2 linked regions of the Caenorhabditis elegans genome follow. The protein of the gene in region 1 interacts with the protein of each later gene in a pairwise test. Each region holds a gene or a part of one and is shown in the gene's direction. Other genes may lie near its edges.

Evidence for each region.
Region 2: the proteins of ztf-20 (region 1) and nab-1 interact in a two-hybrid assay, tested with the Caenorhabditis elegans proteins (one large-scale study listed by BioGRID).

Annotation. Positions count from the first base shown.
Region 1 is NC_003283.11:18,957,016-18,961,697, reverse strand, and holds ztf-20 (C2H2-type domain-containing protein), read left to right. Parts: upstream 1-1,525; coding exon 1,526-1,607; intron 1,608-1,650; coding exon 1,651-1,769; intron 1,770-1,853; coding exon 1,854-2,047; intron 2,048-2,108; coding exon 2,109-2,294; intron 2,295-3,051; coding exon 3,052-3,226; 3' UTR 3,227-4,131; downstream 4,132-4,682. Other genes in the region: Y39B6A.43 (DUF4124 domain-containing protein), read left to right, coding at 1-147, 282-597; hrg-10 (DUF833-domain-containing protein), read left to right, coding at 4,392-4,521.
Region 2 is NC_003279.8:4,227,995-4,235,613, forward strand, and holds the start of nab-1 (Neurabin-1), read left to right. Parts: upstream 1-1,582; 5' UTR 1,583-1,674; intron 1,675-1,891; exon of another isoform or gene 1,892-1,893; 5' UTR 1,894-1,920; coding exon 1,921-2,013; intron 2,014-2,769; coding exon 2,770-2,865; coding exon of another isoform or gene 2,866-2,949; exon of another isoform or gene 2,950-3,148; coding exon 3,149-3,231; intron 3,232-3,579; coding exon 3,580-3,768; intron 3,769-4,501; coding exon 4,502-4,709; intron 4,710-5,077; coding exon 5,078-5,240; intron 5,241-5,486; coding exon 5,487-5,693; intron 5,694-5,891; coding exon 5,892-6,529; intron 6,530-6,718; coding exon 6,719-7,066; intron 7,067-7,525; coding exon 7,526-7,619.

The DNA of each region.
Region 1 (4,682 bases):
ACCAATTCAATTTGAGCCAGCTTTCAAGCAAAATGGAGTACGAACAGAGTCTAAGGAGTACTCGAGATATCAACAAATTGCTGATGAGGAACAAGAATTTGTGGAGGCTACTGGTTCTATGGATCCTGTGGTAGAAAATTTGCAGAAGTACGGAATTCGAAATTAAATATAAAAATTTTGAAAAAAAAATTTTTTTTTTTTGAAAATCTCAAATTTCTATTTTCTATTTTTCAATAAGAAATATCATATTTAATGTTTTTTAACAAAAGTTTTTTTTCCAGAAACCTTGCCCCATCACCACCACCGCTACTAAAACGTGTCACCTTCCCACCGGAACCCCAACAATCCACGTCATCAACATCGGCTGAAAACCTTCACGAGCTGAAATTACAGCTTATTCGACGAGAAATGCAAAATCAGGACAGATTTTCGGCGGTTTTAGACCGGGCCGACGGGCTTTTGGCTAGAATGGAGCAGAGATTCGGTGTGGAGCACCACCACCATATTGTACATCAGGAACAAGAAGAAGAAGTGTGGGATCATGAACAAATTATTGAAGAAGAAGAAGTTATTGTGCAGGATACGATGGAATATTGAAATGATTTTTTAAATTTTTTTTAGTTTTTGAAAATGCGAAAAATTTAAATTTTGAAATAAAAAATTTCAAAATTTTTTTTTTTGGATTTTTGTTTGAATTTTTTTAATTTTCAAAATAAATAAATAATTGTTTTTTTTTTTCAATTTTGAGTCACTTTTACACAATATGGTTTCGAATTTCCATTATAACTTAACGACAATTGTAAAAGTTGAGCCTTGCCATGAAATCTACAGTAACCCGCTGGTTTTCTTGTATGTTTTTGAAATCAGGAGATCACAGCGGTTCGAATAAGTATAATCATGACTAGGTTTCGAATTCATTAATTTTTTTTTGAGTTTTGGGTCCTGCCACGAAAACCAAAAAACTAGCGGAACTCGGCAAATTTCGATCGAAATTTCTAGTTCATAATAGTTTTCAAATTGACATGAAATGCGCGGTTTGAATGAGTATAATCACGACTATTTAAAAATTTTAAATTTTTGGGTCCCGCCGCGAAAATCAGAAAAACTAGGATAACTCGGTGATTTTCGATCGAAATTCCTGAAATTTTATAGTTTTGAAATCAGCATAAAATGGCGGTTCTAATAAGTATAATCATTACTAGACTCCGAATTTATTTATTTTTTCGAGTTTTTGGGTCTCGCCACGAAAAGTGTGAATTTTCGAGCAATCGATTTCATTTGACATTATTAGAAATTAGTATAAAATGACGGTTTAAATAAGTATAATCATGACTAGGTTTGAAAAGTTTGAATTTTTGGGTCCGGCCATGAAAACTTCTGGTTTTCGTGGTGAGACCCATTTTCTGTAAATTTTTGGAATCAGAAGACCACTGCGGTTTGAAAAAGTATAATCATGACTAAGTTTGAAAATTTCAGAAAATATTCGAATTTCTGGGGGGTCCCGCCACGATCAACTAATTTTCAGATGGAAAGCTTCTTAGAACACCTAGAGCAACTCAAACACGAATTTTCACAACTACCAGACGTTCATCTTTCAGAAGCAATAGGTTTGTAGAGACGAGCAAAATTTTTTTAATTTTTTGAAAAAAGTACTTCCAGAACGTATGGACGCAGCAGTTGAAGAAATGACACAAAGTGTGATATTTATTGAGGATAACTTCCAAAATACACAGGAAGAATGTCTAGTGGATATGGGAAAACATATGGTGGTACGTAATTAGGGAAAAGTTTGGGAAATTTGGAATTTTGGTCGCTGCTAATTTTTTGGGCGCTGCAATTTCTCATCATTTCAGGAAGATTTCTTGGATCCATCCGCCGCTGATTTTCTCGGTCACCTGGAGCCGTCTACGTCATCGCAGGATTTCATCTACTATGATGACGTGGCATTAGACACTACTACGTCATCGTCGTTCGTCACGTCACAACCTAGAGAATTGTACTGTTTTACGTGTGGAGATGCATTTAACAATCGGAAAGGGCTTTACAGGTATATTATATTTTAATTTAAAAAAAAAACAGAAATTTTCTTTAAAAAAATATTTTCTCAGACACGGAAAAACCGCCGAACACGCGACACGACCTCCTCGCCGAAAAATTGAGCGAAAAATTCAAATTCCCGCCGAACCGCCAGAAAAACCACCGGAAATTCCGAAAAAATCGATAAAAATCTGCGGGGAAAAATCGATTTGTGCGGAATGTTCGGGGAGTTTTCCTAATCGAAAAGCACTTTACAGGTGAGAACGCCCAAAAAATTAGCAGCGCCCAAAAATTAGCAGCGCCCAGAAAATTAGCAGCGACCAAAAAATTAGCAGCGCCCAAAAATTAGCAGCGCTCAAAAAATTAGCAGCGCCTAAAATATTAGCAGCGCCCAAAAAATTAGCAGCGACCAAAAATTAGCAGCGACCAAAAAATTAGCAGCGCCCAAAAATTAGCAGCGGCTAAAAAATTAGCAGTGCCCAAAAAATTAGCAGCGCTCAAAAATTAGCAGTGCCTAAAAAATTAGCAGAGCCCAAAAATTAGCAGCGCCCAAAAATTAGCAGCGACCAAAAATTAGCAGTGACCAAAAATTAGCAGCGCCCAAAAAATTAGCAGCGCCAAAAAATTAGCAGCGCCCAAAAATTAGCAGCGCCCAAAAATTAGCAGCGACCAAAAATTAGCAGCGACCAAAAATTAGCAGCGACCAAAAATTAGCAGCGACCAAAAAATTAGCAGCGCCAAAAAATTAGCAGCGCCCAAAAAATTAGCAGCGCTTAAAAAATTAGCAGCGCCAAAAAATTAGCAGCGCCTAAAAAATTAGCAGCGCCCAAAAATTAACAGCGACCAAAAAATTAGCAGCGCCTAAAATATTAGCAGCGCCCAAAAAATTAGCAGCGCCCAAAAAATTAGTAGTTACCAAAAACAGTTTCTATTGATTTTTGCAGATTTTTAATCGATTTTTCTCTAAAATTTACAGATTTTCACGATTTTTCTTAAATTTTTAAATATTTTCAGACATGGAAAACAAACAAATCATCAGACACATTTTCAACGTGGAATGAATATTAAAGGAGGATCAATTCGATGCGAGAAATGCGAATATAGCAGTGATAGTGAAAAGAACTTGAAACGACATTGTCAGAGAAATCATTCGAAATTTTCTGCAATTTCTGATGAGATTTTATTGTAAAATTCTAGTTTTTCATCACCTTTTACCTCGGGTAGCAACTTTGCAGAGTTTTAGTGCAAAATTCCGTCAAGTCCGGTGTTTTGAGTACGGTAGTCGGTGTTTGCGTGCTTTCGGCGCTACAGTACCCAAAATTTCTCAAATTTAACTCTAGAAGCCTATAAATAGACGGATTAGCTCAGAATTCGATAAAAATTTCGAATTTTTCAGTAAAGTATACAAATACCAAATGTTAACTGCGGAAAATACCATAAAATTCTAAATGCTTGAAATTTCAGCATTTTTTGAGATTTTTTCAACCTTTGCAGTGTGAAGTACCCGAAAATGTTCAAATTCAGCGCTAGAATACCGGGAAAAACGATTCTCACTCAGAATTCGACGGGAAATTCGAATTTTGCACATTAAAACATGAGAATTCTCAATTTTTAGTGTCGAAAATCAATATAAATCCAAAAATCTGAAATTTCAGCATTTTCCGAAGTTTTAAACATTTTTTCAGTGTGAAATTCGAGCTCTCCGACGAATTTCACATCTATATCATTCTTTTCAGCGTTTTTGTGCAAAATTCCGTAGAATCCGGTGTTTGCGTACTTCCAAAACTACAGTAACCCAAATTTCTAGATTTTGGGCTAGAAGCTCCAGAAAAAATGTAAAAGGCTCAGAATTTAAAGGAAAAATTGAATTTAATATGAAATTTATGGAATTTTCAAAAATAAAAAAATTTGGAAAAAAATTATTTATCTTTTCTTTTTTGTATTGTTCCAGTGTATATATTGTTTTATGATCTCTGATTATTGTTCTCTTATCTGATATTTTTTTGTGATAAAGAAAATGTCATCATTTTTTCCCGCGTTTCTGTGTGTACTTTGTATGTTATTTTCCCCGGGAATAAACTTTTTTTCTGCAAAAACTTTTGCACTGAAGCCTATATTGTGGTCATATGTGTATTGTAGCACTGATAATATTCAATGTTGAAAAAATTTGAAAAAAAATTTTTTTTGAAATTTTTTTTTTTGGAAATTTTCTTTTGGAATTTTTCATTTCTTCAAACTACTTCTCATTTTTGTTCAAAATTTGCAAATTTCCAACACTTTTCACCCAAAAATTCAAAAAATTCAAAAAATTCAATTAAAAATTCATTTTCGGATTTTTTCCAGAGTTTTCCAAAATGTGCATTGGATTTATTAAAATTGCTACTTCACCCAGTGAAAAATACAAATTAATTATTCTGAACAATAGAGATGAGGATTTGGACCGGCCGACTACTCCCATTCACTGGCACGATGGGATGCTGAGTGGTAAGGCTGGAAATTATCACTTTACAGGGAAAAATTGGAAAAATTGAAATAAAGAAATCGAATTCCGCATATTTGAAAACCTATGTGAAGGTTTTAAAAAAATTAGAAAATTTTAAAATTTAGAAAAAAAAATTTTTTTTTCAGAAAATTGAGAAAAATGT
Region 2 (7,619 bases), on another chromosome or scaffold:
GCCCGTTGCGCACTTTCATTCCGGCTCGTTTATTTTTGTAGACATCGTCAGTTTCTTGACATTTCTTATTCTTAAAAGTTCAAAGTTTATTGGAACTTGAAAAAAATCAGAGTTTGAATTTTAAAAATTTTTTTCAGCATATTTTTTGCAAGTTTAGAGATTTTAAATTCCAAAATTGATTTTTGCAGAATTTTTTTGACAGTTTTTTTTAAACTGAAAATGTAGTACTCAAATCAATAGTAGCCAAAGCAATAAAAAAGGCTTGAAAATATATTCCCACCTGAAACAATTTGCGCTCGGAAAATTTAAATTCAGCCAATTTCAGCAACCTTCGTCAATTTAAGAACACCCTCCAGTATAGAAGCTGGGTTTTTTATTTGCAAACTTATCTAGAATGCTGAAAGAAAACTCGAAAAGTATTGCTATTTGTTCCAGATTTTTCCATATTTTTCACACTCATTTCCCAAAAGCTTCTGGCTCCAAGTAAATATTTTTCCAATTTTTTGCCAGTCCGTAAATATATCTATAGCCTCCCTCGTCGTCATGTTTACATGCTCAATTCCATCCTCATTTCTCATTATTTCCTTCATTCATTCTAAAAAATCTTTTCTTAGAATGGACACTTTTAATTTTATATCTGTAAAAATAAATATGTGAAAAGAAAAGTGAGGAAAAAAACAAAGATTGAGAGCCCCCGTTCTGTGATGATTGATGAATGTCGGGTGTTTGAGAATTTTTCATCAAAAACATACTTTCCTTCATCTCTGATTTTTTTTTGGATTTTAAGGATATGTAGAACATTTTGTTTTCCTAATATTTCAAAATAAGATTTAGTTGAAAAATAAATTCAAACATCAAACCTTATTGGCCGACACCCTCACGGTCAAATTTGCCTATCTGATACCCTGAAGTTTGAGCTTATTTTTTTTTGGTTAAATTTTTTGGGCCAAAAAATCGGTGGTCCAATTTCGTGACTTCAAAAAAAGTATTCAAAAATACTAATTTTTTGGATCAATGTAGAGCGCATTTGCACTGATGTACCGTAAAATATGGCGAATTGATAATTGAATTCAAAAATGGTTCGGCTGTGCGGTTCAGATAGGGCGAGTAGAAAGGCGAATAAGAGGTGCCTTCCTACGTCTAGGAACACCTCGTATCTGTGATCTAACTTTAAATTTTTATCCCCAGAATTATTTGCGAAATTTCTGATTTTTGCGACAATTCTAATTCAATAATTGATTTGATTATATCGAGTCTAGACTCTCTATACTTTTTGGCACCTTTTCCCTTTTAATCTCCTTTTTTCTTCCACTTTCCTCTTGCCTCCGCTCTGAATCCGAATTTCGCTTTTCCTTCTTCACACAAATGAACGCAATCCAATTAGTCCTCATCCAACCACCCCGTCCGGTGCCCAAAAACCTGATCCTTATCACAGTTATCACCCGGGAGACGAAAAAGAATATAATTATGAATAAATAGATATTTTCACTTTCCCGTAAATCCTTCTGTCATTCCTCTTCTTCTTCTTTTCTCCAAGCCTCGGAAATATTCTAATCAATTCTGAAATTGAAAATCTCTTCAGAAAAGAAGACGTCGCCGGGACAACAACAACAGCAAGTGGGCGGTGCATGCGTCGTGCGCACCGCTGCTGATAACAAAATAGTGTGCGAGACGGTGAGTCGCAGACAAATCTCACGGGGGAATATCATTTCAGGTCATTCCAACCGGAGAAGACATGCGCGCAAAACGGTCCTTTATTGTTAAGGTTATGCAATATCCTCGGATATTGACACCCTTTCCCGTACCGCCCGTTCGCTCCTCAGTTCCCCTAAACTGATACGAATTATATCCGCTCCCCAACCTTTCCACCTTTTGAAAAATTCAATTTTACAGCTGCCTAATTCAATCCAAACAGCCGAGATGACAACGGCTTCCGAGCTGCTGTCAGACGACGCAAGAGCTCGATTCTCACATACAAAGGCTCTTTTTGAGCAGCTTGAGAGACAGCAAGACGTGAGTTTTTTTTGGATGATAATAATTGGTTTCCGAATTTTGAAATCATTTTGCTATTTTGCATTACGGTTATTTATTTTTCTTGAAAAAACTCACTAAATTGTGGATTAGAGCATATATTCCAGAATTTTTATGCAATTTTTCGCAAAATGATTTTCCTGGCTATATAGATCAAATCTGTAGCTCCCTATGAACAAGTTTTGCCTGCTAGTAGATTCTTCACTTAGGCCTTCAAAGAATAAGTCCCCTCTCTTGATTTGATCTATGAAAATTGCTGGAATTTTGCTCACAGGAAAAGTGAAAAAGTATGACGTCCCCGCTCTTTAGATCACCAGCTGAAAAGTCTGCGTCTAAATTTGGCGAAGTTTTCGGAGATCATTCGGAAAAGAGATACTCTGACTACCAGTTTCTGTATCACTTCACAGCCTCACGTTTAAGAAATTTGACGTCACGTCTGAAAAATGTCTGAAAAAGAGGTTTCCCTATGATCAAGTTTTGCTCAACAATTATTAATTTGGGTCAAAAGTTGGAAACACTGTCGACTTGATTTAGACTTCTACCATATTTATAACTCAAGTTTTGTTAAACACAGCTTAAACCCAGTATTTTCAAAGTCTTGCCCAAATTTTGCCAACTTCTGAGCTAATAGTAAGCTAACTTTTTCAAACATCAGATGCCCGCCACGCTTTTTCCAAAACAAACTCTAAATTGGGCAAGCAGACTACTGTAGTGTCAATTAAAAAATAATGTTTCTAGGTTCCATCATTCTACTCTCCACGTCTTCAACGTCAACCACCACCTCCATTACCCCCAAAACCTCCATCTCAATGTCCGCCGAGTCCGATGTCACAGGTATGTGTGATCAAACAATCACATGGCTCTCTTTCTCTCTCTCTCCTTCTCTTTCTGTTTTCTGGAAAAAGAAATGGAATTTAAAAATTCAAAGACTGTGTCAGTTAGTCAATGTTTTGTGTCTCCAACACCCCCGTCTCTGTTATACTGTTCGGTTGACTAATCCGCTCATCGATAATAGATTCAAAAATAATGGCATTTACTCATATCACACACACACTCCTTTCCCCCATCAGACACACACGCATATAACACATAATCGAAAACTCGAAAACTTTTCCAGGTCGAACGAAATTTCTCTGATTTGGCCGCGGATCTCGATCGGATCCAATCATCGCCGGCAACGTCTAGGTTTATACAAAATAAGTGAGTTGTTTTTTTAAGGATTTGTTACCATACCATAACTTTTTTTTAATTCTCAAAAAAATGTAACTGTAATTTTTTTTGATCAATCGCAATTTTCTCCATTCGGTTCGCGGGCCAAAGTATTTTAATTTTTTTTGGTAGTTACAAAAAGTCGCCTGCAACTAGATTTCAGAAATTCTAGGAAACTGTGCGAAATTCAGATAAATTAGTTGAGAATTTTTTTAAAGGAACTTTTTTGAATTTTCAAATCGAAAAAAAAACCAAAATCTCTGTTTTTTCTTTAATTTCAACTAACATTCTTCTTTGCTTCATTATCAGCTTCGCATGCCTTTTCTTTTTCCAATTCAGATCATCAACTCTTCCGTCATCATATTCCGATTCCACACAGCAGTATTCGTTCGAAAATACGGTTGCCACGTCGCAATATGGAGGACTTCAAACCAACAACAATAATAATAATATTAATATGAATTCATTTGAACCCTATTGGAGAAATGGATCAATATATCGGAGGCAATTCGAAGGAAATGGCAAACCGTATGTGTTTCGCTTCTTTTATTTTTCTTACTTTCTCGCATGAGTTTCTTTATTTTTCTCTATAATAGTTTTTTTTCTTGCGCTGAAGTATTTTAGTTGCGACTAACAAATATTTGTGTTTTTTCGAAAAAAAATGTGGCCTAGAAAAAACCAGAAACTTGGCCAGCATATTTTCTTAGATTTCTCATTCGGGATTTTTTTTGAATTTGCTAAAAAAAAGATCCTTGTGACTTTTCCAAAGTACAAAACTAAAAGTAAAATTTTTGATTCATTCAGGAACACGGTCTTCTTTGGATCTTTCAGAATAGTGATGGCACATAATATCTTGAAATTTTCGAATTTTTCAATTTGAAAAATCTATTAAGATTACAGAAATTGCTAAAATAGCGTGGCCGAGTTTTCTCACATATCGGCTCGTTGGAACCGTAAAAACCCTTTTCAAGCCCATTGTTGGCAAGCTTATGAAGGATCTATCGTAACCTTAAGTTTTTAAAAAACCGCACTGTGTTTGTGATAAAAATTCATTTAGTGTGTCTAGATATATTTTTAGAACGCCGATTTTTTATCGGACATTCACATTTTTTAAAATTTAAAAATTTGATACGATTTGCGCCAGATTGTTTTTTTAGTAAATTTAATATATGCAGGCACCTGAAAAAACCAATCATTTCATGAAAATGAGTTGCTGTTAATATAAATAATCAAATTTCTTCGATCAAAACTTTTTTTTCAGTTTTGGCGAGGAAAACGATGGAATCTCACCAACGACGAATGGAGTGAAGCACACGACATACGCCGTCGTCAAAACACCAAAGGAAACAGAACTTGAAACAACATCAGAAAACAGAGGACTCATGGAAACACGGAGGGGTCTGAGTCCAGAGAGGCCTGACGTGGATTTAACGAATCGAAAGGTCTCGTTCAGCACTGCACCTATTCCGGTAAGATCACCCACTTTTCCCATTCACTCATGTTTCTTTGTTGTTGCAAGTTTGCTCTATGGAATGTATGATGTTCAAAATAATTTTATACTTTTTCTAGGCCAAGACAGATTGAAACGTGGCCGAGAAAAATCTTTTTGAAACTATCAATAGAGCAAACATGCATTCACTGAAACTTGACCACCACAACCTAACATTTCCTTTTGTTTACATATATGTGGCAAGGTGATATTAATTCATTAATAGATATATCTATACAATCTCGAATTAGGTCACCTTATTGATATGATAAGAGATGAGGAACAAGAGAAAAAGAGAAAGAGAAAGCGATCTTCATTTGCATAATATCTAAACGTTTTCACTTTCAGGTCTTCTCGGCGTTTTCCGTTGAAGACTACGATCGCAAGAATGAAGACATTGATCCGGTGGCAAGTTGTGCTGAATATGAATTGGAGAGACGACTTGAAAGAATGGATTTGTTTGAAGTTGATTTGGAAAAGGGTGCCGAGGGACTTGGAGTCTCTATTATTGGTTAGTGATTGTATTGTGGCTTACCATAACTTAGAAGCCTTGTATCTCGGTTACAATCGGATGTTGCTCACAGTTTCTGTTTCATTTTTATAGTTGGAAACTTTCTTTTCTCGGCATAACCAAAGATAACCGAGATATAAGCGCTTAATTAAACTTGAAGGAATGTCAACCTGAAGCTACTGTTTAGGAAAAAATTATATGCTTTCTGCCTGCCTACGGTTTTCGGATAAATTCGTTATGTTTCAGGTATGGGTGTTGGTGCAGACTCGGGTCTTGAAAAGCTGGGAATCTTTGTAAAGAGCATCACACCTGGCGGAGCTGTTCATCGAGATGGACGAATTCGTGTCTGCGATCAAATTGTTTCAGTCGATGGAAAGAGTTTGGTCGGTGTCTCACAGTTGTATGCTGCAAACACGTTGAGATCCACCAGCAATCGAGTCACTTTCACAATTGGTTGGTTTTTTTTGGAGTATTGTGCCGAACGCGTATGATATATTGCATTGATGACTCCGTGAAATAACACAAATATTTTTGTGTGCAACAGCGACTCAATACACCATATTCCGCGCAAGCGTAGAGAAAAAAAGCATCTAGAAAATATTTCAATTATGTTTACCAGTTATCTTCCAATTTAAAAAAAATGTATTGCAGGTCGCGAACAAAACCTTGAAGAATCCGAAGTTGCTCAGCTAATTCAACAAAGTCTTGAACACGACAGAATGAGAATGATGGGAGACGAGGAAGACGATATCGAAGAGCCGCCACCACCACCATCTCAAATGCCACAGCTACCAATTGAACAGGATCGTCCGACAACTTCAATGATCACAAAAGAAGAAATTGAGATTCGTTCGAAGATTGCTGCTCTTGAACTGGAACTTGATGTTACTCATAAGAAAGCAGAGCAATATCATGAAGTGTTGAGCTCAACGAAATCACATTGTGATCAACTGGAAAAGCAGAATGAGCAGGCAAATTATATGATTAAAAACTATCAGGAAAGAGAAAAAGAGTTGTTGAATCGAGAAGAGAATCATGTGGAACAATTGAGAGATAAGGATGTACATTATGCATCATTAGTTCGTCAATTGAAAGAACGAATTGATGAGTTGGAATCGAAATTGGAAGAAGCTGAAGAGAGAAGGCATTCTATTCAGAATCTTGAGCTTATCGAGTTGAGAGAGAAGTTAAAGGAGAAAGTTGAGAAGAGGAATGAAGGAATGGCGTATAGACCAGGTGGAGAGCTTCCTCACGAGGATAAGGCTGTTATGGTTAATTTGGAGACTATTGTAAGTTGGAGAAAATATGAAAGAACATTCATCTTCAAACTTCATTCTAAAACAGTTTTCACATAATGCCTAAAATTAAGCTTGAGCGTAGGCCCTATGCCTAAGCCTAAGCCTACGCCTAAGCCTAAGACTAAGACTAAGCCTAAGCCCAAGTAAGAAACTAATTATAACACCCATTTTCATTTCCAGACTCCATCAACCAAAAAAGATGCGGAAGTATCAGTTGGAAGTAGTTGGACAGAAGAGTACTCATCACCATGCGAGTCGCCAGTCCCTCGTATCTCCGAGCCAGCATCTCCGGCTCTTCCACATAAATTGACGCATCGCAAACTTCTGTTCCCACTCCGAAAGAAGTACGCCGAAAACGAGTTCTGGCGTGCCACGTGTCAACCAGTTGGTCTTCAAGCTCTTCATTGGACGGTGGACGATGTTTGTCAGTTGCTCGTTTCAATGGGCTTGGACAAATATGTGCCAGAGTTCACCATTAATAAGATCGATGGAGCCAAGTTCCTCGAGCTCGACGGAAATAAACTGAAGGTGAGTAAGATGTATACGATCCCGGCGCAAGAAAACTCGGGTAGAAAAAAAAAACGCTGCAATTACATAACGAAAAGTTAAACTATTTCGTAGGCACCAAGGTGCTAAAATTTTTTAAACTTTTCGGTTTTTTGGGTAAAACCGAGAAAAAGATTCCTGAAAATTCTGAAATGAATTCAATATTTATGTTACACTCTATTTCATAAAAACAACAGAAATGTCACTTTTCGAGCAAGAGAGACTGAACTTTTGTTTTTGATTTTTCAGTTTCTTGTGCCAAACCCAAAAACCCTTCAGGTCTAGTAGGCACAGTCTGCCTACCTGAAAAGTGCCTAGAATATACAAGGCTTAAAATAGGTGCATTCTATAAACCTTATGTGACGTCAACTTTTTCAAATTTTCCACAATTTTGGGAAATCACACCACTTGAAATTGTTTATCTGAATCAATATTTTTTAGGCAATGGGAATTCAAAATCACTCGGATCGTTCTCTAATTAAAAAGAAAGTAAAAGGAATGAAGAATAAAATTGAAAGAGAACGAAAACAGTTGG